Linked DNA regions of Nothobranchius furzeri. The protein of the gene in region 1 purifies or fractionates together with the protein of each later gene. This does not show direct contact. Links are inferred from orthologs where the notes say so. Each region holds a gene or a part of one and is shown in the gene's direction. Other genes may lie near its edges. The genes, in order: cd2bp2, snrnp200, prpf31, ppp1caa, eapp, dhx38 and prpf4.

Region 1 (2,747 bases):
GCCACCTTTGTTTCCAGGCCAAGAAGGAGCGACTATTGACTTTGACGAAGGAGTTTCTATTACACCTTTCAACCTGGAAGAGGAGATGCAGGAAGGCCACTTTGATTCAGAGGGAAACTATTTCATCAAAAAGGAAACACAAATTAGAGACAACTGGCTCGACAACATAGACTGGGTAATTGCATTCTCAGACAAATGATTATTTAATGGAAGCTCTGCATTTTGCAGTAAGTGAAGTATCTGTTTTCTTGCAGGTGAAAATAAAAGAGCAGCCTATTAAGAAAAAGAAAGGTCTTGCAGCCAAACGGAAACGCAGAGTCGGTGATGAAGATGAGGCAGAGGAAGAGAAACGAAGGGAAGAACAGCAGGCAAACCAGGAGGATGAAGAGGAGGAGGAGATGCCTGCAGAGGACCCGTTGGCTGCCTACACTCAACAGCAGCTTGTTGAAGCTGTTGTTGAACTGCTGCAGCCTGGAGAAACGGTCGCCGCGGCGCTCCGTCGGTTAGGAGGCCTTGGAGGGCGCAAGAAGGGAAAGCTGAGAGAAGAAAACCAGTCCACAGAGGAAGCTTCAAGAGACACGGAAAAGCTGGATAGGCTCACAGCTTTAGCTGACAGGCTGGTTGGATCTGGGATGTTTGAAATCTATCAGCAGAGCTATGAAAAACTGGCCTACGTGATGAAAAGCATGACCAGCAAGAAGCCAGCAGTGAGGCAGACGAAAAGTGACGATGAGGAAGAAGATGAGCTTGACATGTTTGGTGATAAGTTTGATGAGAAGATTGGTGAGAAAGAAGAGGATGACAACCAAGGTTCTTTCCTTCATGCTTATAAATGATTAAGTTCAGAAGAAGGTTACTTACCTCGATTCCCCTTTTTCTTCTCAGTGAGTGATGAAGTGATGTGGGAATACAAATGGGAAAATGAGGAAAAATCTGAGGTCTATGGGCCATTCACCAGCCAGCAGATGCAGGTATTACTACTATTTTAGCTCTGACGTGTTAAATGCCCAACTTCCAAACTGATGTGGATTAAGAGGGTTTTCCTTTTTATTACGAATGTAGATTCTTGTGTGTCTGTGAGGAATTCAGAACACTTACCGGGCTTTTCCACCTGACACATTAGCATCACATAACGTCTGCAAAGCACCCTGCAACGTCCGCGAAGTGTAGTACACAGCAAATAGCCGCCGTCACAGTGGGTGCGTTTCCACCGACTGCTTAGCGCCAACGTTTTTGAGGCATCCCAGAAGCGTAGTGACGCGTTGCTCCGTTAAATTTATGCTTCCATTCTTATTTTTGTTAGCACTGTGCTTTCGTGCTGTGCTTTCATGACATGTCAGTCTCAGCCATTCAGATCAGGACAAACACAGGAGCACTGGGAAACATCTGGACACTTTAAAAATAATAAAAGACACGTGCCGATTTCCAGTTGCTTGTTTAAAATAGTTGTGATGCCTCTGTAGCCGAGGTAAACCCAACACAAAACAAACCACAGGTCTTTTTCAGACAAATGCTGCCGTCTTTCCTCTTCATTGTTACTGCGTGAACTTCCAGTTCTCTGGTGATTTCGTGATCTCGTGGGTTCAGCTGTTGGTGATGTTTTTGCCGCTGTTTCATTTCTGAAACGCTCCCAGTAGGAAGGGACAAGCGACTGAGATTGGAGGTCAAATGCTTCTATTACGTTACGCGACGCTTATGCATTCAGTGGAAATTAGGGGTTAGGCAGTGAGTAGTCTGATTTTAATTTTTTATTTTTTCTTGTACATTTATATTTTAAAAGAAAACATAAGTATAACACCTCATACATTTAAATGCAATGTTTTAAACATGTATTTTATTTATTTCCCTCCTCAAAATACCAATAATTCCATCATTTAATCTAAATAATTGAATTGTTGACTGGTTGTCTCATTAACCCCAGTCTGACCTAGTGGGCTTTTATTTTCTTACTGCTGTGTTTTCAGGGCTGGGTGGATGAAGGCTATTTTAGCAGCGGCGTCTACTGCAGGAGGGTGGATCAGGACGGATCTCAGTTCTACAACTCCAGAAGAATAGACTTTGACCTCTTCACATGAATTATGTACACCATCAGATGAAAAACAGCCCTCTTGAATTTTGTCACCACTCATGTTTTACTTGGATTTTCTCTGTTTATACACCAGGGTTTGGAGGAGAATTGGTCCATTCATTTTAGCCCTGCCTTTGTTTTCTGCAGATAGTTTTTAAATAAAAGGCTTGTGTGCATCATTGCTGAAATTCTATTCTTTCTTTTTCTGAAGCAAGGACACAGCTTGTAAATGCTGATTATTCATATACACTGCAGTTTTACATTTTATTGTTGCCCTTAATAACGTGTTTACATTTAAAGTTAGAAAACATGAGCACAGGGAAATCAGGGCAATGTAAGTTATTTTCTGTCGGAATAATTTTATTACAGTATTTAGGCAGAGTTGGAAAATGCCTAATAACCAAAATAAACCATTCCCCAGTAAATATGCACATTAATTTCGTAATGTGAATTTAAATTCGTCCTTAGATGGTTTTAAGCTTGAGCTTTATGCTTTTTTAAGTTATCAGAGAGGCGATATGAAAGGAATAGTGTCCGCTTTATCAACATTGCGTTTTAAATGTGTTAAACCGTTTCCTGAATGTGTGTCAAGTTATTAAAAAAACTCGCTTATGACGCTAGATATACAAGAATTCGTGAATTTTTCCGATGCTCCTATTGGCTGGCCTCAACCAGCGAC
Region 2 (3,928 bases), on another chromosome or scaffold:
TAAAATTATGAATTCAGTCGAGCTCTTCCGTCACTCCCTCTCCTGCTCTCCTGGAAACCCGACATCGGCTGTTAGAAGCGGAGGTGAAGAAGGAGATGAGGCAAACAGAGTGAGTGCGACATAAAGAAACCAGACTGGTGTGGAGGTGAGCAAAACAGCTGGAAAAGTGTGGGCGTTGAATCCCCCACGGGTGCGATGTCCATGCGAGCGACCTGTACCTGCTGCTGTCACCTGGTTGTGAGCAGCCCTCTGCTGTCTGAGGGTAGGCCCCGCCCACAACGCTGCGGCTACTGCGGTGTTTTCTTTACTGTGGGAAACGGGTAATAATGGCTCTTTGATGGGAACAGGTTGCTGACCCCTGAGCTGGTAAAACAAAAATCCTCATCAGCAGGCTTTTTTGAAAGTGGGGGGGACACAGCTGCCAATCACAAATTTTGCCGGGGACATGTCCCCGGCGTCCCCGGTTAAACTGACGCCTATGTTTATTTTACGTAAAACTTCACACGGTCCCAGTTCAATTCAGTAACTTTATTTATTAATTCCCAATTCACAACAAAGTAAACATTCCAATTGAACCTAATAATTAGTGCAATTAATTTAGTTTACCACTGAGACTTGTTAAAAGTTTCCTATCAAAGGAAACCCAGCAGTAATTGTGACTTTGACACAATCATTTCCCCACGGAGGGACAATAAGGACATTTTCTATTCTATTCTAAAATATTTTGATTTTGTCATCATATAGTTCTTGGTTTCATTAAAATTCATCTGAAAGACCAATCAGTGGTACATCAATGACACATCTTTTATTCAGAGGAAGACTTCTTTTTGTCCCCCTTTCTCTATTTTTTGTTTGTTGACTTTGTACAGTTTAGAGCCTGTACTTTTTACTTTTTACTAAATAAAGACGGTCACTAAATACTTTTACTTTTACCAGAGCATTTTTATACAAAAATGTGTACTTGTACTTCATTAGAGAACGTCAGAACTTTTGCCATCTGGGTTTCGTGAGATTTAGCCATCGACATGTAAAAATATCGAATAACATCCAAATTGAATGATTTACACCAAGCCTCTAGAGGGCGCTGTTTACCTTTTGTGTCTGTTTCATTCCCTTTGACACCGGAAGAGGAAATTTCTGCCCACTTGTTGTGCGCTCGTGCTAGCCGTGCTTTTGTTACGTATGAAAAACGCTACTTTCTGTTTGTGAGTAAAAGTGGTTTAATGTTTGAAATTAGAACACGCTACTAATGTTCACAGCGTTTTAACAAAAGTACAGAGTGACGTCAGCTCTGTGAACTTCACTAGTGCGCGTGCTGGTTCACAGAGAGCGGTGAACCCCGGAGGAAAAGTGGCACCATGGCGGATGTTACTGCTCGTAACCTGCAGTATGAGTACAAAGCGGTAAGTATGTTGGGTGTAAATATAATAACTCGGGGTTATTAAACGTTTCTGTGACTAGTGATTTCTAATTATGATGTTTAGTGGATCGTGTTGCCGGAGCCGAAGCAGCTCAGCCCGCTGAACTGATGGGTCTCATTTAATTGTGTGTTTGTAGAACTCAAACTTGGTGCTGCAAGTCGATCGTTCTCTGATCGACCGCACTCGGAGAGATGAATCCACCGGGGAGGTGGTGTCCCTGGTGGGGAAAATGGAGGGGACGAAGATGGGTGACAAGGCTCAGAGGACCAAACCCCAGAAGCTCGAAGAGAGACGAGACAAGTCAGTGCAGCTAACACTGATGTTTTTAAAACCATTTACCTGTTAGAATCGAGGTACAGGTGGTGTTTTCGTGTGTATGATTCTTATACAATTTAAAACATTCTATAATTTACTTGAACGTTGAATAGATCACATTTAACATGAAATATACCTCAATTAGGACAGTAATAGAATTATTCAGATTTAAATGAAATGAAAAGAACCGTCTTTGACCTTCATCCTCCTTTAATTGTCATTAACAAACGTGTGAAGCATGTAATTGCACCATATACTTAAAAGGTGTAGTTTTGCTGTTTGAAGTGGGGTTTGATGTGGAACAGCTGCATATGTTTAATCTGTAGGAGACAGCAGATTGATTGCAGTTTAGAGGAAAAAAATCTGAACTATCCCGTTTTATCTCACAACAGGAGACGTAAAAGAGATGAGGACAGACATGATATCAACAAAATGAAAGGCTTTACCCTCCTGTCTGAGGGCATCGATGAGATGGTGGGCATTGTGTACAAGCCTAAAACCAAAGAAACCAGAGAGACGTACGAAGTGTTGCTGAGCTTCATTCATGCTGCGTTAGGAGACCAGGTTAGTGAACGTCACAACACTTAAGACTTTTGCACTGTTGATGGCGAACGCACAGCTGATGTGAACTCCAATTGTCTGCAGCCGCGTGATATTCTGTGTGGAGCAGCTGATGAGGTGTTAGCGGTGCTCAAGAACGACAAAATGAGGGACAAAGAAAGGCGTCGTGAAGTGGAACAGCTTCTTGGACCTTCTGATGACACGCGCTATCATGTGCTGGTCAATCTGGGAAAGAAGATCACAGACTATGGTGAAGACAAGGACCTGCAGAATATGGGTAAGCTACTTTAAAATATCTTAATAAAGTGTTTCGTTTATTTGGTGACCATGTTCTCTTTAAGCTGTTATCAAATCATCTAAATCTTTTGTTATTTATCTGCAGATGACAACATTGATGAGACGTACGGTGTCAATGTCCAGTTTGAGTCTGATGAAGAAGTACGTTTTAATTATTAATGTCTTAGTTGTATTTAAACTGATTAAAATGAAAAAGTGATTTTTTTTCCCCCCGTCTTGTTACTTATATAAAGGAAGGAGATGAAGACCAGTTTGGTGAAGTACGAGATGAGCACTCGGATGAAGACAGTGAAGGAGAGGAGGCTGTTGTGTCCACTAGGCTTACAACCAATGTAAGTACAGCCTTTTTGTTGGTTCAGGTGGTATTTCCACAGTTTTCTTCTCTCTGATTTAAAAATTGAATTCTGTTTTGTTGTAGCTTAGCGAAACGGGTGGCGTGATGACGGTGAAGAAAAAAGACCTGCACCCTCGAGACATTGACGCCTTTTGGCTCCAGCGTCAGCTCAGCCGCTTCTATGATGATGCTATTGTCTCGCAGAAGAAAGCCGACGAAGTCTTAGAAATCCTCAAGGTGGGATTTTCACTGTTTTTATTAGTCACGCAGCATAACGTAGCATCTTTTGACACCTGATGCCTTTCTTGTTCTACAGACCGCCAGCGACGACAGGGAATGTGAGAACCAGCTGGTGCTGCTTTTAGGCTTCAACACTTTTGATTTCATTAAAATCCTCCGTCAGCACCGTCGCATGAGTAAGTTGCGCTCGTTGAATTGCGCTGGGCTATGATGTTCTGTTGCACAACTTATTTGAAGTTGCTGGTTTTTATCTTGTCTGACTCACAGTTCAGTATTGTACCATGCTGGCGAGCGCTCAGAGCGAAGCAGAGAAGGAACGCATCATAGGAAAGATGGAGTCTGACCAAGAGCTGTCCAAGATCCTGTACCAGCTGCAAGAGACGGAGAAAGAGGACATTATTAGAGTAAGACATCTTGGTTTTGAACTGTTTGTCACCACTTTGCAAGAAATGATTTTCCATATTTTGTTTTTGTTATTCAGGAAGAGCGATCTCGCAGGGAGAGGGTGAGGAAGTCTCGTGTTGATGACTTGGAGTCAATGGACATTGGTCATGGAGAGGTAACTAGTGTGACATGGTCCAGGTAGCCGGGTAAAAGTGTGTGTGTGTTGAGAACATTTGTGTTTCTCATCCTACAGTCGGTAGTCCCTCGGCAGGTTCTGGACCTCGAAGACTTGACGTTCACTCAGGGTAGCCACTTCATGGCCAACAAACGTTGTCAGTTGCCCGATGGCTCTTTTCGTAAGCAGCGCAAAGGTTAT
Region 3 (4,267 bases), about 68 Mb from region 1:
CTCCAGAGGGCAGTGAATTTACCCAACAACCAGCCATTCACCCAGAAGATATTTTTTTACTGAACAGGCGACCAGAACGTTGAGACGCTGACTCTGGACACATTCCCGGACTTCGCCAGTGACAGGATCTTGTATGAAAAGTTATCTGAGCTCCTGCCTGCCACTGTTTACAGAGTCTTTGGAAATATGAGCTTATGTTGGAAAAAGAGCAACTTTGGAGCTTTGTAAAATCTGAAACAACTTTGTCAGCTATGCAGTGGGAGTCTTGCTGTGTACCAGCGTACCTTCTCTTTTCTCCTTCATTCTGTTGAATCGTTTTCTTAGGGTGTGTGGGAGGGAGATGCACTTTCTTTAGTCGTTCATCCGTCTGTGTATACGCTTGGACTCTTCCCCAGTTTATCCTCAACGACGTTTTTCTTTGCAGTCAGTCCGTCGTGCTTGTAGGCAGCAGTTTCAAGCAGACATTTCCTGACTCCTGTATCTGAAAATACTCCTCAGCATTTGTGCAAGTATCACAACATAGGTGGACACAATATTGTTTTAGAGCTTTTGCTTTAAGAAGCAATCTTGGACTGCAAAAAAAGGTATTTTACTTTGGATTTGTATCTTAGAAAAGCATTTTTAAAATTTGTTTTATTTTTATATTTATCATACTGATAGAATTATTTGCTGTAAACCAAGTTGTGCAAATTAGTTAATTAATTTACCTATTTATTTATTTATTTATAAGTTCATTTATTTGCTTTAGAGTAGTTAACATTTATGAAATTTATTTAGTTTGGGATAAAGTGCATCCAAGTTGTACATTCTCTTAAGATCTTCATAACAAATACAATATTTTCCCAAACATTTTAATTGCTGGAAGAAAATGTATTTCGAATAATTTTACTTGTTAATATATTATGACGATCTTTACTGTGTGGAAATCTCTCTCTCTCTCTCTCTCTCTCTCTCTCTCTCTCTCTCTCTCTCTCTCTCTCTCTCTCTCTCTCTCTCTCTCTCTCTCTCTCTCTCTCTCTCGGTCTTGGTCAACATTTTCAGGAGCTTTACCACTTTTTTACTTGTTTGTTTGATAATGATTATTGTAGCTTAGCACCACAAATCAGAGCTTTTCATGAGTAAATAAGTCAATTTGTTTGTGTATTTGTTGATTAATTTATTCTTCTTTTTTTAACTAATAACAGTTGGTCATGCTGCAGAGGTCCGGCAAGTCTGTTTAGTCTGTTTCAATGTTAAACTTGTGTTGTTTTAAAATGATTTTCAAAGGGGACGATGTATAAATAAGAAGAAATAAGAAATAAAAACAGAAAAAAGTTGATATTTTACCTAAAATGTTTTCATGGATATAAATCTCACTGTTTGTCATCTTAAAACGAAGTATTCGCAAATAAAGCAATTAGTTTTCATCTATTTCTCAGTTTATGGGCCAGTGACTTCATTTCCCAGAAGGCCTTAGGAAGCTCATTACGTATTTAATCTGCGACAAGAGCAGAGCACAACATTAGCTTTAAACGGACAAATAAAATAGCAACAGCGTGTTTAAACAGATTAGTTGTCTTCTGAAGTTTTTTTTCCCCGAGTAAATAATCTCAATTTGAATCTCAGAGGTGAGTTCTAACATTTTAATAAAGCTTCAGGAAACGTTTAGGAGACGTTTGATGCCGCTAGCTAGCTAACAGCGCAGCTGGTGTGTTAACGCGGCTGAGAAAAACATCTTAAAATGTGTTAATTATTATATTTATGTTATGTGTTGCAATTTTACATGTTATTTGAAGAGCTTGAAGTAATGAAATGCCATGCAGCCACTGAAAACGAGACAAAAAGTTGTATACTACCAATAGTATTTCAATGAAATACTGTGTATGAGGTTTAAAATGTATCTTTAGCAAACTATAATTTTAGTTTAATAGCAGTTTCAGGTTTACCGGTTGCACGAGATAATTTTGGTCGTGTATAAATGTTTAGAAATCAGTTAAAATGAGTAATAATGTAAAACATAGTGATTTGCTGTACATTTGTGTTTTCAGCCTTTTGAAATAGTGAATGAGACAGTATTTGGTGTTTTAGAAAAGCAGGTTATCTCTATCTGTGTACATGTATGTGCCAGTGTTTACTTGGTTTCACTAAAATAATGTGATTTAATCCAACGAAATATCAAATTACATATTAAAATTAGATTATTTAGTAGAGGTAACTACTGGCATAAATACGCCTTCTATTAAATTTTTCCAAAGATTAATGAAGTTTTAAATTAAAGAAACAGAAGTATGGAGTTAGTGGAAAAACATGTTCAAAAATCTGAAGATCAGAGCTACAATAAAAATAGATGTTCATCATTAAGATGAGGCTTTTATTACCATTCTTTCTTTTTCTCTGTGTGTGTGTGTGTGTGTGTGTGTGTGTGTGTGTGTGTGTGTGTGTGTGTGTGTGTGTGTGTGTGTGTGTGTGTGTGTGTGTGTGTGTGTGTGTGTGTGTGAAAATGTAGAAGAAAAGTGCTGTTATGAATATACTGTCTAAGATGAGAAGGGGGTGTACACAGACACACACTTTGGTTTGTTTTCATGTATTTATCATCTTCATATTGTTATTTTTATTCGCTGCTCTTTTGCAGATGTCTCTAGCAGACGAGCTCCTGGCTGACCTGGAGGAGGCTGCAGATGAAGGAGAAGAAGGATTGTATCCAGATGAGGAGGAGGGAGACAGTGATGGAGAGGGGATCCAGGGAAGGACACAGGCAGGGCTGGAAGACATTCCAGAGGAGATGGAGGTGGACTACAGTAAAGCTGAAAGCGTTGCGTCCATCGCCAAGCTTCGCAACAGCAAGCAGGTTATCATCTGAGTTTTCTGTGTAGTGAGATGTACAATAAAACATTAGAATCCCACTTAACTGTGTGTGTTTTTAGTTTTCAGACATCATGGACAAAATTTCAGAATATGTGGGAAAGCAACGCAAAAATTCAGACGGTCAGTTTGATTCCTTTGAGTTTCATCAATGCTCAGGCGTCCCTCACAGCATTTAAATCAGCTCGGTGCTGACAAATCTGAAGTGATTGCTGTGTTTGTTTTTAGTCTCTGGTCCTGTTGAGGCTGATCCAGAATACAGGCTGATCGTAGCGGCCAACAACCTTACTGTGGAGATCGACAACGAGCTCAGTGAGTCAGCTGGCTGTTCCGCTGCGAGGAACCGTGACAGAAAAGCGTGAGGAGTAATTCCACACATCTAATTTTTCTATTCCTTTTGTACTTTTAGACATCATTCACAAGTTTACAAGAGACAAATACTCCAAGAGGTTTCCTGAGCTCGAGTCTTTGGTGCCAGATGCTTTAGATTACATTCGCACAGTCAAGGTGAGCTGACGTCTTGATTCTGAATTTCACATTAAAATGTCACCTTTTTGAATATTTGTGTCATTGGTTAAATGTAATAAATATTTTCTGAAGGATTTGTGAAATCACACAATTCTCTGCTGTTTATTTACATTTTTAATTTTATCTCCAAACTTTTTAAACGTAAAACCGGATTAGTTTTTTTTTGTTTGTGTTTGTGTGTGTGTGTGTGTGTGTGTGTGTGTGTGTGTGTGTGTGTGTGTGTGTGTGTGTGTGTGTGTGTGTGTGTGTGTGTGTGTGTGTGTGTGTGTGTGTGTGTGTGTGTGTGTGTGTGTGTGTGTGTGTGCAGATTTAGCAAAACATTCAGTAATATTTGTGTGTTTTTTGTAGGAACTGGGAAACAATCTGGATAAATGTAAAAACAATGAGACCCTGCAGCAAATCCTGACCAATGCAACTATTATGGTTGTCAGTGTCACCGCATCGACCACACAGGGGTGAGTTTTCCTGTCAGAATCCTGTTTGGCGAGTGAACAGCATGAAGTTTTTGAATAATTCAGATGTTAAAGGGGCATTATGGAAGTTTGACAGCCAAAACATGTATAGAAATAATAAATGTCTTCTTCATACATTCTCCTGCAATGCCCTGGTCCTGTAGAATGAGCCCTGGCATTTTTACTGTGATTGCCTGTTTTTCTGTAAAATCACAGAAAAAGAGAGATGCTCGGGTCGAGCAGGCTGCTTCATGCGCGTTCACGCTCAGGCATCGCCCGTAGCATTTGCTATCCGTAGCTTTAGCAGCAGAGAGAGAGGCAGTGCCACTTTGTCGCTGTTCCTAACGCCTAGTGACAAAGCTAGCTACATTTCTGAGGACCCTTAGCTACTTTCTGTAGAACTTTCTTCTAGATATTTCCTGCAAATTAACAACAAAATAGCCATT
Region 4 (2,957 bases), about 190 kb from region 1:
ACTATGTACATCCCTACTTCTGATAGAAAATAAATGGTGAAACTCTAGGATTTGAAATTCCTGACAGATCTATGTCACACTGTCACTTAACATTCGTGGGCTCACCCATCATGACTTGCTGCGGGGAAGGCTGCTATTAGCGCCCAGGAAACTGCAAATAGCGTCTTTGCTAGTAGAACCGTTAGCATTAGAAACTTCACAACACAGCAGAACTCCTTCAGGCTTGTTATCTGTGGAGATGAAACATCAGTGTTGTAAGTCAGTGGTTGAGTCGCATTGCTGTTATCCAATCAAAGGAGAGATGTCCAAATATCAGGAAATAAGACTCCAAAAACTGCCGTCTGAAGCTCAGCTGTGATGTGGCTCACTTCTATTTCCTGAAATGGTGCTCTGGAGTTTTTGGCCAGTCTCGGTTTGGTTATGAAGCCCCTAGAAACACCTCAATCAGAACTCTCCCTGCATGATTGATATATATATATATATATATATATATATATATATATATATATATATATATATAGTTTGAGATTTTTTTGTCTATGGTCTAATTCTCAATGTGAGCTGGGTGCAGATATAAGCTTAAAGATCACACACTCTTCTTTATGTGACAGCATGCAAACACTTTATCTGGTTAATGTTTGGGGTCGATACTTTTCCCAGAAGCCTGTAGATGTATGTAATCTTAGCCTTCAGTTTGTTTACCTTCTTGTAAATAAAGCCACATGACTAGCCTTAGCTGAGCTGTTGGATGTGATTGGGATTATACTCAAATATGCATGTGCAGTGAAATATCCTCCTGGGACTTTGACATTGACTGAGGGACATGCTGGAGTATGCCGTACATGGATTGTTGCACTTGGACTGTGATAATAATGTCTGCCAAACACAGGAGATGACAAACAAGCCCGATAGTGGCAGTATTTATATCCTGTTATGCAACTCACACCCCTTTTTGTACATATGGTTATATTGCCTGGTAAATCAGTTGTATCTGCTGCGGTCGAGGTTGCGTGACATTGAAGAAAAGCTCCCTGCTGCATGTGCTACATTGAAACTTAGATTTAGTTTTTTCTCCTGTGCGTGAAACGAGGTTACCTCCCTGCTGCTGTGTTTTGAGACCAAACCAATTAACAGTGTTTGGATAATTAGGAGCTACAATTGGATTACTTGTGCAGATCTGAAGCTAGGCTAACTTGGGATTGTTGCTGATAGCATGTTAGCAGCGTGCAACATCACAGAATTCAAAGCATTGAGACGCAATTGCTGAACCGAATGAACTGCTGATTTCACCCCCACAGATTTGCAGCAGTACGGGTCCAGCTCTCTGGCTTTGAGCCCCTTGTTCAGTGTAGTGGAAAGTCTTTTGTGTACTCCCCTCATGACGGGGGCCATGAGGCTAACTTTGGAGTAAACTCCGCCAGGGCTTAACCTTCTGTAATCCAGGTTTTAGGCAACAAGCAGCCACACCGTATTTATAGCTGCTTTCTCGGCCTTTTGTGGTCCCTCCATTATCATGCTCTTTCTCCACTTTCATTTGGCAATTCCTACTTTTAATAGCACTACTCACACAGCAACAAGAGACAATTTAATCTGTGTTTAAATCATTCCTAGGCAAAGTTAACATACTGGAATGGTTTGTTGGCTAAGCTGAACCAAGTTTGTTTTTTCTGTCATCGGCCCGCTCATGTTATTGATTCTGTTAGTTATGCGAACTAAAGTGATTCACAGCTGCTGCAGCAGCTTGCATAAGGGTGCAGTGCACAAATGTGTTCTCAGCTGCAGCTCCTGGATCTGGACTTCTTTAAGAGCATATTTTTAGAACGTGGTCATTTTTATAATTGCAGACTGCCCGTGAGATTAGGGGACATCCTGGTGCCTATTGTGTCTGATGTCATCAGCGTGTGTGTGTGTGTGTGTGTGTGTGTGTGTGTGTGTGTGTGTGTGTGTGTGTGTGTGTGTGTGTGTGTGTGTGTGTGTGTGTGTGTGTGTGTGTGTGTGTGTGTGTGTGTGTGTGTGTGTGTGTGTGTGTGTGTGTGTGTGTGTGTGTGTGTGTGTGTGTGTGTGAACACACATGCAAACATTTGAAAAAACCTGCAGAATTCTAGAGGAAGCATTAATATGTTTACAAAAAGAAAACACTCATTTTTTCCTAAATGTTATTTATTAGTAACATTTTTACTTCAGTCATTTATTTAGTTACATTTCTGATATTTTATGTGTCGAAAGCGTTTATCTATCAGGAAATTGACTTGTGTGTTTTCAGCATTTCTGCTGCAGCATCAACATGAAGAGGAAGTGGTTTTACGCCTTTTAGCTTCGGTTTTAACATCAACTTCAAAACGAGCAAAACAAAGCCGCTTCTGAGGCTGAGCACGCCGTTACATGCTGCTCATCGTGCCCCCTAAGCTCTTACTTACTTGTTAGGAGTTTAATTCTTTCATTTCTAGAACAATATTACCTCTAAATGTTGTGAGTACCTGCTGAAATGACTGTTGGACTGAGCCGCTAACAGAACTTGACAGCATTTGGCTGGTGGGAGGTGTTAACCGTCCAGTCTGGTGGTCTGGTTCAAAATCCAAGCTTTGCTGTGTGTCACTTGTGATGTTTCTTCCATAAAATAAGTGACATCTCTCTTTTTCCTATTTCCTCCTCCAGTCAAAGGCTCTCGGCCAGGAAAGAATGTTCAGCTAACGGAGAACGAGATCCGCGGCCTCTGCCTGAAGTCCCGTGAGATCTTCCTGAGCCAGCCCATCCTGCTGGAACTGGAAGCTCCTTTAAAAATATGTGGTGAGTTTTTGTAAAAATTAGGGGCTGGAATGTAAAATTATAGTTTTTCTGTTTATTTTGAGTTTATTCCTCCTAATAGTTATTGCTCATAAACCAGGAGCTAATTAGACTTTTTCTCCTCACATAAAGGAAATCTTACACAACATGTTCCTCCATTGGCTGAAGTCTTA
Region 5 (4,059 bases), on another chromosome or scaffold:
ATGCCGTGAAATGTTAACATTGTTTTTGCTGGTGTGCTGCTGCATTAGGCTGTTGTTAACTAATATATACATGCACTCTCTACTTTTGGATTTTTCTTTTTAAAGACTTTTGAGACTTCTTCTTTTGTTTCATATATACATACATACATACATACATACATATATATATATATATATATATATATATATATATATATATGTATATATATATGTATATATATATATATATATATATATATATATATGTATATATATATATATATATATATATATATATATATATATATATATATGTATATATATATAAATATATATAAATATATATATATATATATATATACATATATATATATATATATATATATATATATATATATATGTATATATATGTATGTATGTATGTATGTATGTATGTACATTTATATATTTATATATATATATATATAAATATATATATATGTATATATATATATATATACATACATTTATATATTTATATATATATATATGTATATGTATAAATATGTACATACACACATATATACATATATATGTATGTATATATGTATTTATATATGTATATATATATATATATATAAACGAAAAACACTTTAAATCTTTTAATGTTTTTATGATCTTGGACACAGATACATTTATTACATATGTTTTCGGAAGGTTGCAGGTTCGAGTCCCGCTCAGTCTGTCGCTGTCATTGTGTTCTTGGGCAAGACACTTAACCCACGTTGCCTGCTGGTGGTGGTGGGAGGGACTGGTGGCGCCAGTGCTCGGCAGCCTCGCCTCTGTCAGTGCGCCTCAGGGCAGCTGTGGCTACATCGTAGCTCTTCCCCACCAGTGTGTGAATGTGTGTGTGAATGACTGATTGTGTTGTAAAGCGCCTTGAGGGGTTCCATGACTCTAGAAGGCGCTATATCAAATACAGGCCATTTACCATTGATAACATCACAAATATATTTCAACACAGATGTAATTTTTCATAAATATTCTATAATTTTACATGTGTATTATCACAAATATATTTCACAGCTTAGTGGTTCTTCATCACAATTATAATTAAATTTAAAGTGGTAATTGTGAAAAATTATTTACGTAATAATTAGTGTTATTATGCAGATTTCGCATACATTTCTATTTTTGTATTCGCACTGAGCAGGAATCGAACCCACGCAGTTCGACTCCCGGACAAAACAGTTTAAAAAAAAACTGCCTCAACCCTCCAGTCCACTAGAGGGCGCTAGGGTAGTTTGGAGTTGGTTTTCCACCAAGTGGAAAGGTGACATAGAACTAGTCGTTTTCTGTCACTACGTAGAAGTAATTATGTTCCCATAGTTAAACTTTCAGCCGTCAGAATGAACATGCTGAATAAATCACAGGACTTTGACTCATATGAAGTCGAAGAGCCAAGTGACGAGGAGCGGGCAGCGAGCAGGTAGGGATCAAATAAACTACGGTTTCTAACATTAGCATCGTGGCTAGCATCTCCGGTGTTCTACATGAACTAGACATCAGCTCAAATGGTGTGTGGTGGATGCATCGGACATAGGTGGCTCATCAAAGCCTGATCAAAACTATGCGAATGTAAACAAACTGTTCATAAACGTAATTGATGTTGGTATAAACGCGAGTAAAGCATGTTGCCTTCTATCTTATGTGACATCTGTTTGTGAGCAATCGTTCTAAAATAAAAAAGAGGGTCAAAATGATCACAACTGAAACAGCGTTGAGGCGCGTTAAGGTGAGGTTGGTGTTTTAAATTAACTGGTGATTCGTCCCTTTACTGGTTCAAACAGCCTGTTTATTATGATCCATGGAAATGAACATGGATTTAAGCTGCTTGGTTTGAACCCACACGGGCTTTTAGAAACTCGTTTTCTTGGGTTAATTTACGACAAAACTAGAACGAGAGTTTTGTACATCTTGTTAAAAAAATAATAGAGCAGACTTGTACACTGTGGTCCAGATGAAACTCAACACAACTTTTATACAGTATTATTAAAACACTGTCGACGAGAAGAGATGCTAGTACATACTCAGTCCGCTAACAGATTCACTCTCTCAGAAGAACTCAAGACCTTATCCCACTGAATCCAAGACCCCAAGGCCACAATGCCCCGAGCATTATCTGGTTGTTCTGCTCTGGTGTTTCTGTTTTATGTGACCTGGACTCATAGAGTTACTTGGCTGAAATATTTTCCCGTTGCATGTGATGTCATACTACTCACTGGAACACCTCTTTCTTCGTGGTGGAAGTGAAGGGAACAGTTTGTCCAAAAGAAGCTAGTTTGTAGCCTTATATTGTGCTTAGTTTGTTGGTATTGCTGTAAGGTGGTTATCGCTACTAACAGACGAGCTTATAAACTCAACTTGTTTTTATTTTAAATAACTTTGATGGGAACGGAAGATGGAGACGGACAGCAGCTGTCAATCACTTGTGTAGTAATAGTTAAAATAAGGGATGCAGCACCAGTGCTGCTCATTTGTTTTGTCGGGTAGATTTTCAGTCATCTCTAGGGATGTAAGACAATATCGATATGGCAATATATTGTGATATTTTTTCCAGCAATATTACATCGATATTCAAAAGCCGTGTATCTAATTCTTGAAAGAATTTACATGCAAACATTTGTGTATTTTCTTTTCGTTTTGTGCAATTTAATCGCCGCCCGCTAGTTTGCAGCAGTGTGCAACAGGTTTTGTTTCCACCATTGAAATGTAAATCCCTCCATCATGGTTCAGATACCTCATGTTAAACATGTTACGTATCAGTTTGGACTGTTAAACATTCTTACAATAAATTCAGTAAAAAAAATTGCTTGTAACGTCTGACTGAATGTATCGCAATATATCTTGATATATCGTATCGTCTCCCCTGTATCGTGATATGTATCGTATCGCCAGAATTTCAAAAGTACACATCCCTGGTCATCTCAGACCAAACATTTGAGGTTTTTTATTTTCTTCTTGTGGTTGTGTTTCAGTTCAGAGGATGAGCTGGATGTGCTTCTGAACGGGACAGCAGAGCAGAAGAAGAAGCTGATCAGAGAGTATCTGACGGGGGAGAGCGAGTCGTCCAGTGAGGATGACTTTGAAAAGGAAATGGAGACGGAGCTCAGCTCCACCATCAGGAACATGGAGGGAACCTGGGCACCAGCAGCTAGTAGGACACCAACAAATGTTATTATAACTAGTTTAGTTGGACCAAGGAAATTGTGTCCTGTTTTGGACGTGGCAACTAATGATTGTGTGTGATTAAATAATCATTGTGGCCCTCCGCGACTGCTATGAAATCATTCCTGAGAGTTTAAGTGGTGGTGATGAAGTTTCTCTTTGTTCAGACAGCGGTGGTGAAGGAGCAGGTGCCGGTGGCGTAGGAGGTTCCAGTGTTCCCAATCCACCGATGTATGACGAAGTTTACTTTGATTCTGACTCAGAGGACGAGGACACACCAAGTACGACGTCACTTTACACGACTTCATCTTCACTTTGATTTTGGTTAATTTCACCTGTTTGTTACAGGCAGCTCTACCAGCTGGAAGCGGAGACAGCGTGTAGTTCCTACCAATGATGAGCTGTTGTATGACCCAGACGAGGATGACAGGGACCAGGCTTGGGTAGACGCCAGACGGTAGTTCTGTAAAACACTGCCACTAGTACTTTTTTTGTCTTCTTGTAGGCCGTTTACCCATTTCTGTTCCTGTTCAGGTATAACAGCAGAAAACAACCAAATGCAGCCTCCCGGTCCAAATCCGGCCAACCTCGGTGTTTACCCAACAGTGATGCTGTTCTCAACTGTCCCGCCTGCATGACGACGCTCTGCCTGGACTGTCAGAGGTCAGGCACAACTATCCTGCTGTGTGTTCTTGTTGATTGTGTCAGCTAGCATGAACCAAAAACAAAGTTGTATGGCAATATCACAACGGGTTGCACTAATGTTCCCTAGGGTGCACGACACATCACAGATGGGTCCATATCATTTACAGTGTCACGCATGTATCAGAGCACAAAGGGAACAATGGAGTTTCATCATTTTAGCTGCGTGTT
Region 6 (3,500 bases), on another chromosome or scaffold:
CCTATCTGCTCCTCCAGAGACAGCATGGACATGAAGGTTACATGGTGAGGGTCCCACAGGACAGGTTAGTGGAAAGGTTTGTAGTTAGCTGGTTAGTGAAGGAGATCCATCAGCTGGGTAATTTAATCCTAATCCAGCCCACAGCCTTCTGCTGGTGTTATCAGAAAGAATAAAACACATCTTAAATATTGGAAGTGTAGAATTTGTTTTGTGTTTTATTATTTTCTGCATCAAACAGAACTTGATTCATTCTCCAACATTTCAGAAACGAACCACTGGGTTCAAATAAAATAAACTAAGTCAAACATTTCATTTGGTGTTATTTCTGACTTCCTTGAACTGTGGCATAAATATTTGACTCTAGAGCTGCTCAGAGACATTAAACACTCATGTATGAACACATTATGGATTTTATTATTACATTATGTGTCCTGTAGGTTTTCAGTACTTTTTTAGATTTTGTGAGTTTTTGCAAAGCGTGTTTTTCTCAGCCTGAGGCGTGGTGTTGAACCAGGAAACAGATGTTTTACTTTGTTAAATCTTCTTAAATGTTTAAAATGTTTTGTCCTAACCTGTTGTGAATGGAGAGATTTTGAGGGATGGCAAGTTGTGTCAATTACGTTTTTGATAAAAATAAATAAAAAGCAGTTATCTGACATCTTCTATTTATCGATGAAAACAAATCAATATGAAATAATCGTGATGCATCGGGATATCGAATCGAATTGAATCGTTGACCCAATAATCGTAATCGAATCGAATCGGGAGACAAGTGAAGATTCACACCTCTATTGTTAAGGCGCACACTTTAAAACCACCAATCACGTTGGAAAGACAATTCTCTTCTAGCATCCAGTCCTTTTCCGGGCCGTGAGGCTGTTCCTCAAGTTCAAGAGTCAACAGGAGGGTGGGCCGACTTGGCTTTAAGCAAAACAGGAATGCTGTGAGCTTAATAACACCAAACTTCCTTCAGGACTTTAGGAAATGACAAGTTAGAAGGAAGAGCTCAGTGAAAACAGAAACGGCTTTAAGATGAACCGGGTATACTCATTCGTCCACAACGTTCCATGTACTGGCTTAGGACCGCATCCCCAAACGCTAGGTTCCGGTTAAAGATCAGGATCAGGTCATTCGGATCAAGTCTCATAGTTCGGCTCGGCTGCCCTCTCGTTCTCAGTTGGGCTCCTCAGGCTCCATCATGTTCAAGTTTTTCACGATCTCCGTCAGCTCCCCACCCGCTCGCCGGCCTATCCCTCTCCAGCAGTCAGCCGCTCTTTGAAAGTTTCTCAGGCCGCTTCATCTGCCCTCTCTTGGCTTTTAACGGGTCGGAGTTCGTCAACCTCTCTCGTCTCCAACTTCCGTGTCATTTTTTTTCTGCGCGTCTCTGTGCTCCTTTTCTCTCAGCGTCCTCATCAGCGGGATGTGAAGCACCTGTGCACTCCAGCTGATGTGGGAGGAGCAGTCAGAGGACTCCAAACCAGCAGCCCCATCCCGAAACAGGGGCGAACATTTGCTCTTAGCCGGCCCGAGGGCCGCCCATCGTAACACTGTGTTCTTGTTTGTTTCTTTTCTTTCTGCATAGATTCCTCCACCCCTTCCCGTTCTAACTGGGATGAAGATGACAGCGGTTACGCCAGCTCAAGGCGTTCTCAGTGGGAGTCCCCATCTCCGACCCCATCTCACAAGGAGGCAGACCGCTCAGAGAGAAGCCATCGCTCAGGCAGAGAAAGTGAGAGGAGAGACAGGTAACTGTTATGTTATTTAAACTGTGCCTTTAACCTCGATGACCCTAAAGCGTTCTATTCCTGTTTGTGTTTAATGTTGTAATTTATAGTTTTGTTCTTTGAGAACATTTCTTTTTATGAGCTCTAGAATGCAAATTATCTTTTTTTTTTTTTTTTACAAAATAGTCATTGATGCTTGAATCTCTCTCTCTTTTTTTTTTAAACAATAAAAATGTGTTTTGGTGTTTTTACATTTGACTAAAACTTTTAAACGTGATTAAAATGTCGTATTTACCTGCTGGGATTTTAGATCAGTTAAAGGCCGTTACCTTGACGACACACCCCTACCTACACCATCTTACAAGTACAACGAGTGGGCCAATGACAGAAAACATTTGGGTTCCACGCCTCGCTTATCCCAAGGAAAAGGTAAACTTGTTTATATTTTCTACTGCTTGGTCATAATTTAATCTAAAATAATATTTTTTACTCATGTTGGATTTAAATGAAGCATTTAACCTTTTGTTCTTGGTGTTTCCTTTAGGTAGAAGCGAACGTGAGGGAGGAATTATGTTTGACAATGAAGATGAGAAAGAACAGTGGGAGGATGACCAGAAGGTGAGTGTTACCGTTATCATTTCATTTGTTTTTCATCGTAAACTATCTCCTGTTGAGATCTTTACTTGTTTCCTTCATGCAGCAAGCTGACAGAGATTGGTACATGATGGATGAAGGCTATGATGAGTTTCACAACCCCTTCACTACAACTTCTGAGGAGTACGTGAAGAAGAGAGAGCAAATCCTCCAGAAACAGACTCAGAAAAGAATTTCTGCACAGAAGCGACAGATCAACGAGGTACAAACGGTGTTATCCGTTTCTTTTTGCACAAGCTTCCTGTAACCTTTTAACAAGCTTTGCGTTTCCTCTTAGGATAATGAGCGATGGGAGACCAATCGGATGTTGACCAGTGGCGTGGTGCAAAGGTTGGAGGTGGATGAAGACTTTGAGGAAGACAATGCTGCTAAGGTTCACCTGCTAGTTCACAATCTGGTCCCTCCCTTCCTGGATGGAAGAATAGTCTTCACTAAACAGGTGAAAACCACATTTTAGTCTTCAGTTTATTTAATTCAACTAAGTTTGGATTTAAATCAAACCAACACATCTGATATACTAATGTCAGAGTTTCTTTTAACTTTTTTTTTTCTCTCATCTGTGTATTATTATCCTGCAGCCAGAGCCCATCATCCCTGTGAAAGACGCCACCTCGGACATGGCCATCATCTCTCGAAAGGGCAGCCAGCTTGTCCGGAAACATCGAGAGCAGAAAGAACGGAAGAAGGTGAGACGAGACCGCCTCCTAAATCCCTACGTGTTTTCAGTCTCAGTGACCCTTTGCTTCTTTTACCACCACAAATTTCTCCTTGTACATTTGCACTAATTGTTCTTGATGAAACCTTTAAAATCGGTAAATGATTCAAACATTTTGTTTCTGCCTTCAGGCGCAGCACAAACACTGGGAACTGGCAGGCACCAAGTTGGGTGATATTATGGGTATAAAGAAGAAAGAAGATGAAGAGCCTGGGGCCAAAGTGGTTGGGGAAGATGGCAAAGTGGACTACAAGTAATGGAAAACTGCACATTTAGTTTTTGTAATTCAGTTCAATTCAAATTCAAAAATACTTTATTAATCCCAGATGGAAATTCAATTGTTTCAGAACACACAATTCTGAGATCAGACATACATACATAGACACATGACAAGAATTGTGACTGTG
Region 7 (4,035 bases), on another chromosome or scaffold:
GATGGCAACTGGGGAGTGTGTAGAAACCTTTATGAGATGGGAGAGGTACGAGGGGCAAGGTTGTGAGTGGCCTTATATGTGATGAGCAAGATTTTGTAGTCAGCCCTGAATTTTATCAGCAGCTCAGAACTACATGATGGACAGCAGCAGCTCAGGAGTAGAGCGGGTTGTCCACTAACCCGAAGGTGGCAATTTCGATCCCAGCTTCAGACAGAGAATGCTGCCGTGGTGTCCTTGGGCAAGACCTTTACCTGCTGGTGGTGGTCGGAGGGACCGGTGGCACCAGTGCTTGACAGCCTTGGCCGTCAGTGTGCCCCAGGGCAGCTGTAGCTACATCGTAGCTCATCTCCACCAGCGTGTGAATGGATGAATGATGCACTGTAGTGTAAGGCGCTTTGGAGTCCTCAGGCTCTGAAAGGTGCTACACAAGCGTGGGTCGTTTATCATTCATTTACATGTTTCACTGATCACGCTTCTCACTGCTCAGGTCACTAACAAGCCCTCCAGATGCTTTATCATCTCACTGCAAAGAAAGCATCCAGTAATTCGTCCTAATGTTGGTTCTGCCACTGCTGACAAACCTCCACCTTCACCAGCAGGTGGCACCACCGTGCATTGTGTAGGACCTACTGATAATTCAAGTTAGAAAAATTCACCCAACATCAGAAAACCAGTTTTTCTTAACCTAAAAGGTTTACCAAGCCGGGCACAAGAGTATCGATCAGCTGTGACGATTTGGCGCCACTAGGTTTAGGGTCCTACTGTGGAGGAGATTAAAAATTCACCTAATTAAAGACACATTTATCAAAAAATGTTAGGAGAGCAGGGCAAGTTGATTTATGTGGCAGACCTACAAGAGTTAGCCTGTAGGGGGGGAAAACCGCGTCTAACCCCGCAAGGAAGCCCCGCATGGATGGGGAAAACACGCAACTCTATGAGTTTCGAACCTGCAACCTTCCGGTTAAGGGGGGGCTCTGGGCTCCTGTGCCACCGTCACCCCATCAACGTAAAAGCGTCGCAAGCAGAGGTTTTAAATAACGCAGGTGTTGCGGGTTGACTCCACACAGCGTTATGTTCCAGAACATCCGAAGTTGTTGAGGCGGAAAAGTCGAATCTGTGAACATCATGTCAACTTTACTTCCGTCCACCCGAACCCGTTTGTGTGACGAACCCAGGTGACTTTACCTGACGCACCGAGACTCTCCTTCGTCCTGATCGTCAGCTGTTTGGTTATCTGGCTAACAGGTAGATTGGTTAATTACCCATAAGTCCACGGATCCACCAACCGGAAAAAGAAGCTTTGACCCGGAAGCCAACAGTTTCATATCCGGGTTGCAGTGCTAGGAGACGTTGCGGCTTCGTCTGTTTTTACGGTAAGTTTGAACAACAAAACAAACGAAGCTTTAAAACAGAGAAACACGCTTATGGTCCAAACAGCAGGTGCGCGTGCTCGGCTAGACACGCGTGTCCGTGAGCCGTTAGCTCCGAGTCACGTGCGAACATCAGAACGCTTCTATGGTTTCGTCGTGCGGTCCGTGTGTGTTCTGCACAGCTACGGTTACAGCACCAGTTCACTACTGGTGTGGGTTGCAGCACCAGTTCACTACTGGTGTGGGTTGCAGCACCAGTTCACTACTAACTCACTCATAACATCTATGATAGCTTCCAGGCAGTCAGGTTTTCGTAGAGCTCGTTCTACTGAAACCAGGGCCGTGCAGAGACCTTTGACGGGGCGGGGCTCAAAGTAAAAAAAAAAAAAAAAAAAGGGGGCACTTTTAGATCAATCCAACAAGTTAAAAAAATCTGATAATGAGACCCTTGGGTTCAAACAACATAATAAAAATTTATCAATTAGTGTTAATGTTAGTTAATAAATAATGAACTAACCCTAACCCACCATTGCGTGGGCGATGGTGGCACAGGAGTTAAGATCTCGCCCCGTAATCGGAAGGTTGCAGGTTCGAGCCCCGCTCAGTCTGTCGCTGTCGTTGTGTCCTTGGGCAAGACACTTAACCCACGTTGCCTGCTGGTGGTGGTCGGAGGGACCGGTGGCGCCTGTGCTCAGCAGCCTCGCCTCCGTCAGTGCGCCCCAGGGCAGCTGTGGCTACATCGTAGCTCATCCCCACCAGTGTGTGAATGTGTGTGTGAATGGGTGAATGACTGATTGTGTTGTAAAGCGCCTTGGGGGGTTGCAGGACTCAGAAGGCGCTATATCAAATACAGGCCATTTACCATTAATAGTTTGTCACTGGAGAAACAAGTTATTCAGTTCTTTGGAAGTAAGGGCATTTCTATTGACAGCACCACTATAGCTGCATGCTACACAATTCCTAAAAAAACTGGAAAAAAAAAACAAAACAATAATTCAGTTTGTGAGCAGGAAACATAAAGTTGACTTGTTAAAGGTCGTAAAGAAGCTTAAGGGCACAGGAGTGTATGTAAATGAGCACCTGACAAAGAAGAATGCAGAGATTGCCTGGCAAGCAAGAATTCTGAAGAAGGAGAGGAAAATACAGGATACCTGGATAAGGAACTGTAAAGTAATGATCAAGCTTACTGGACCACCAGAACAGGCTATGGTGGTGAGCATCAAGAGCCTCTCTGAACTGGAAAAACTCAAATGATGAGAAGAAGATGGTATTTAATTCATGGACACAGCAGACTACAAGAAATCAGGAAATAATAGATTTTTTTTTAGGTTTGTCAGTGATGTAGATCATAAAATCTAAAAAAAATATCAAATCTGATAGATAATGGAGTTGACTCAGAAATTAATGGTTGCAGCAACACCCACCTGGACTGTGAATATTATATTGTAGAGGACTTCAAAGTGAGTATGTGTGGATTTTCATTAATACACTTTAACAGCAGAAGTCTCTACAACAATTTATCTAAGATCTCAGATTACCTAAATGAGTTCAAGGAGAAACTTACAGTAGTTGCAATTTCAGATACCTGGATCAAAGATGGAAAAGAGTTATTGAATAAACTGGATGGCTATGAAATGTTTACTCAGAGCAGACAAAACAAAGAGGGGGTGGGGTAGCACTTTTTGTTAGGACTGGTTTTGATTGTACGAAACTAACAAATATGACCTTCATTGTTGAGAATTTGATGGAGTGTCTGACAATTGAAATTAAGTGTAAAAAATCCAGAAACATCATTATAAGTTGTATGTATCGTAGTCCTGGTTCTTCTATAGATCAGTTTAATGAACGTATTGAAACATTATTTGGGCAATGTAGGAACAAAATTGCTTTAATTTGTGGTGATTATAATACTGATATGTTTAAATCAGATGATAATACTAAAATAGCTGAATTTATCAATTTAATGTTTAGTTTAGGTTTCCTTCCGTTGATACTGAGACCAAGCAGGATAACAGCCGTAGTATTACACCGATTGATAATATATTCATAAATCAATCTGACGTCAAGACAAAGAATGGCCTTTTTTAACTGATATTACTGATCATTTACTGGTGTTTACTGTGGTGGAAATGATGAGAAGTGATGAAACATCTCTGGAAAATGTAAATTATACCACAACTAGAAAAAAAACTTCTGTTGCAATTGAAGCTCTGAAATATGAACTGTTTTGCTCTGATTGGACTGATGTTTATGTTGATGATGTTAATAATTCTTATACAGGTGCTGGCCAGTAAATTAGAATATCATCAAAAGGTTGAAAATATTTCAGTAATTCCATTCAAAACGTGAAACTTGTACATTATATTCATGCAATGCACACAGACCAATGTATTTCCGATGTTTATTACGTTTAATTTTGATATTTATAGGTGACAACCAATGAAAACATCAAATCTGGTATCTCAGAAAATTAGAATATTCTAAAGGCCAATGAAAAAATGTTTGTTTCTCTAATGTTGGCCAACTGAAAAGAATGAACATGAAAAGAATGTGCATGTATAGCACTCAATACTTAGTCGGGGCTCCTTTTGCCTCAATAACTGCAGTAATGCGGCGTGGCATGGACTCGATCAGTCTGTGGCACTGCTCAGGTGTTATGAGAGCC

The links.
Region 2: the proteins of cd2bp2 (region 1) and snrnp200 purify together in Homo sapiens (affinity purification with mass spectrometry; 8 studies listed by BioGRID and IntAct, counting the BioPlex papers as one, with this or other methods). This does not show direct contact. The link is inferred for Nothobranchius furzeri from reciprocal best matches to the Homo sapiens genes CD2BP2 and SNRNP200.
Region 3: the proteins of cd2bp2 (region 1) and prpf31 fractionate together in Homo sapiens (co-fractionation; 3 studies listed by BioGRID, with this or other methods). This does not show direct contact. The link is inferred for Nothobranchius furzeri from reciprocal best matches to the Homo sapiens genes CD2BP2 and PRPF31.
Region 4: the proteins of cd2bp2 (region 1) and ppp1caa purify together in Homo sapiens (affinity purification with mass spectrometry; 3 studies listed by BioGRID and IntAct, with this or other methods). This does not show direct contact. The link is inferred for Nothobranchius furzeri from reciprocal best matches to the Homo sapiens genes CD2BP2 and PPP1CA.
Region 5: the proteins of cd2bp2 (region 1) and eapp purify together in Homo sapiens (affinity purification with mass spectrometry; 3 studies listed by BioGRID and IntAct, counting the BioPlex papers as one, with this or other methods). This does not show direct contact. The link is inferred for Nothobranchius furzeri from reciprocal best matches to the Homo sapiens genes CD2BP2 and EAPP.
Region 6: the proteins of cd2bp2 (region 1) and dhx38 purify together in Homo sapiens (affinity purification with mass spectrometry; 3 studies listed by BioGRID and IntAct, counting the BioPlex papers as one, with this or other methods). This does not show direct contact. The link is inferred for Nothobranchius furzeri from reciprocal best matches to the Homo sapiens genes CD2BP2 and DHX38.
Region 7: the proteins of cd2bp2 (region 1) and prpf4 purify together in Homo sapiens (affinity purification with mass spectrometry; 3 studies listed by BioGRID and IntAct, with this or other methods). This does not show direct contact. The link is inferred for Nothobranchius furzeri from reciprocal best matches to the Homo sapiens genes CD2BP2 and PRPF4.

Annotation. Positions count from the first base shown.
Region 1 is NC_091745.1:8,817,564-8,820,310, reverse strand, and holds the end of cd2bp2 (CD2 antigen cytoplasmic tail-binding protein 2), read left to right. Parts: intron 1-17; coding exon 18-175; intron 176-254; coding exon 255-810; intron 811-885; coding exon 886-971; intron 972-1,964; coding exon 1,965-2,075; 3' UTR 2,076-2,247; downstream 2,248-2,747. UniProt on the Homo sapiens protein: Involved in pre-mRNA splicing as component of the U5 snRNP complex that is involved in spliceosome assembly.
Region 2 is NC_091757.1:37,093,742-37,097,669, forward strand, and holds the start of snrnp200 (U5 small nuclear ribonucleoprotein 200 kDa helicase), read left to right. Parts: upstream 1-1,128; 5' UTR 1,129-1,358; coding exon 1,359-1,403; intron 1,404-1,557; coding exon 1,558-1,721; intron 1,722-2,128; coding exon 2,129-2,300; intron 2,301-2,381; coding exon 2,382-2,574; intron 2,575-2,679; coding exon 2,680-2,735; intron 2,736-2,827; coding exon 2,828-2,926; intron 2,927-3,012; coding exon 3,013-3,165; intron 3,166-3,244; coding exon 3,245-3,344; intron 3,345-3,435; coding exon 3,436-3,572; intron 3,573-3,649; coding exon 3,650-3,727; intron 3,728-3,805; coding exon 3,806-3,928. UniProt on the Homo sapiens protein: Catalyzes the ATP-dependent unwinding of U4/U6 RNA duplices, an essential step in the assembly of a catalytically active spliceosome. Plays a role in pre-mRNA splicing as a core component of precatalytic, catalytic and postcatalytic spliceosomal complexes.
Region 3 is NC_091745.1:76,608,082-76,612,348, reverse strand, and holds the start of prpf31 (U4/U6 small nuclear ribonucleoprotein Prp31), read left to right. Parts: upstream 1-1,467; 5' UTR 1,468-1,607; intron 1,608-2,611; coding exon 2,612-2,827; intron 2,828-2,903; coding exon 2,904-2,964; intron 2,965-3,069; coding exon 3,070-3,153; intron 3,154-3,250; coding exon 3,251-3,348; intron 3,349-3,717; coding exon 3,718-3,824; intron 3,825-4,267. UniProt on the Homo sapiens protein: Involved in pre-mRNA splicing as component of the spliceosome. Required for the assembly of the U4/U5/U6 tri-snRNP complex, one of the building blocks of the spliceosome.
Region 4 is NC_091745.1:8,625,255-8,628,211, reverse strand, and holds part of ppp1caa (protein phosphatase 1, catalytic subunit, alpha isozyme a), read left to right. Parts: intron 1-2,655; coding exon 2,656-2,787; intron 2,788-2,957. UniProt on the Homo sapiens protein: Protein phosphatase that associates with over 200 regulatory proteins to form highly specific holoenzymes which dephosphorylate hundreds of biological targets.
Region 5 is NC_091758.1:7,754,136-7,758,194, reverse strand, and holds the start of eapp (E2F-associated phosphoprotein), read left to right. Parts: upstream 1-1,259; 5' UTR 1,260-1,367; coding exon 1,368-1,447; intron 1,448-2,996; coding exon 2,997-3,175; intron 3,176-3,353; coding exon 3,354-3,467; intron 3,468-3,534; coding exon 3,535-3,643; intron 3,644-3,720; coding exon 3,721-3,849; intron 3,850-4,059. UniProt on the Homo sapiens protein: May play an important role in the fine-tuning of both major E2F1 activities, the regulation of the cell-cycle and the induction of apoptosis. Promotes S-phase entry, and inhibits p14(ARP) expression.
Region 6 is NC_091749.1:58,498,376-58,501,875, forward strand, and holds part of dhx38 (pre-mRNA-splicing factor ATP-dependent RNA helicase PRP16), read left to right. Parts: intron 1-1,582; coding exon 1,583-1,745; intron 1,746-2,034; coding exon 2,035-2,153; intron 2,154-2,268; coding exon 2,269-2,342; intron 2,343-2,424; coding exon 2,425-2,580; intron 2,581-2,655; coding exon 2,656-2,817; intron 2,818-2,956; coding exon 2,957-3,064; intron 3,065-3,224; coding exon 3,225-3,346; intron 3,347-3,500. UniProt on the Homo sapiens protein: Probable ATP-binding RNA helicase. Involved in pre-mRNA splicing as component of the spliceosome.
Region 7 is NC_091746.1:69,563,499-69,567,533, reverse strand, and holds the start of prpf4 (U4/U6 small nuclear ribonucleoprotein Prp4), read left to right. Parts: upstream 1-1,235; 5' UTR 1,236-1,373; intron 1,374-4,035. UniProt on the Homo sapiens protein: Plays a role in pre-mRNA splicing as component of the U4/U6-U5 tri-snRNP complex that is involved in spliceosome assembly, and as component of the precatalytic spliceosome (spliceosome B complex).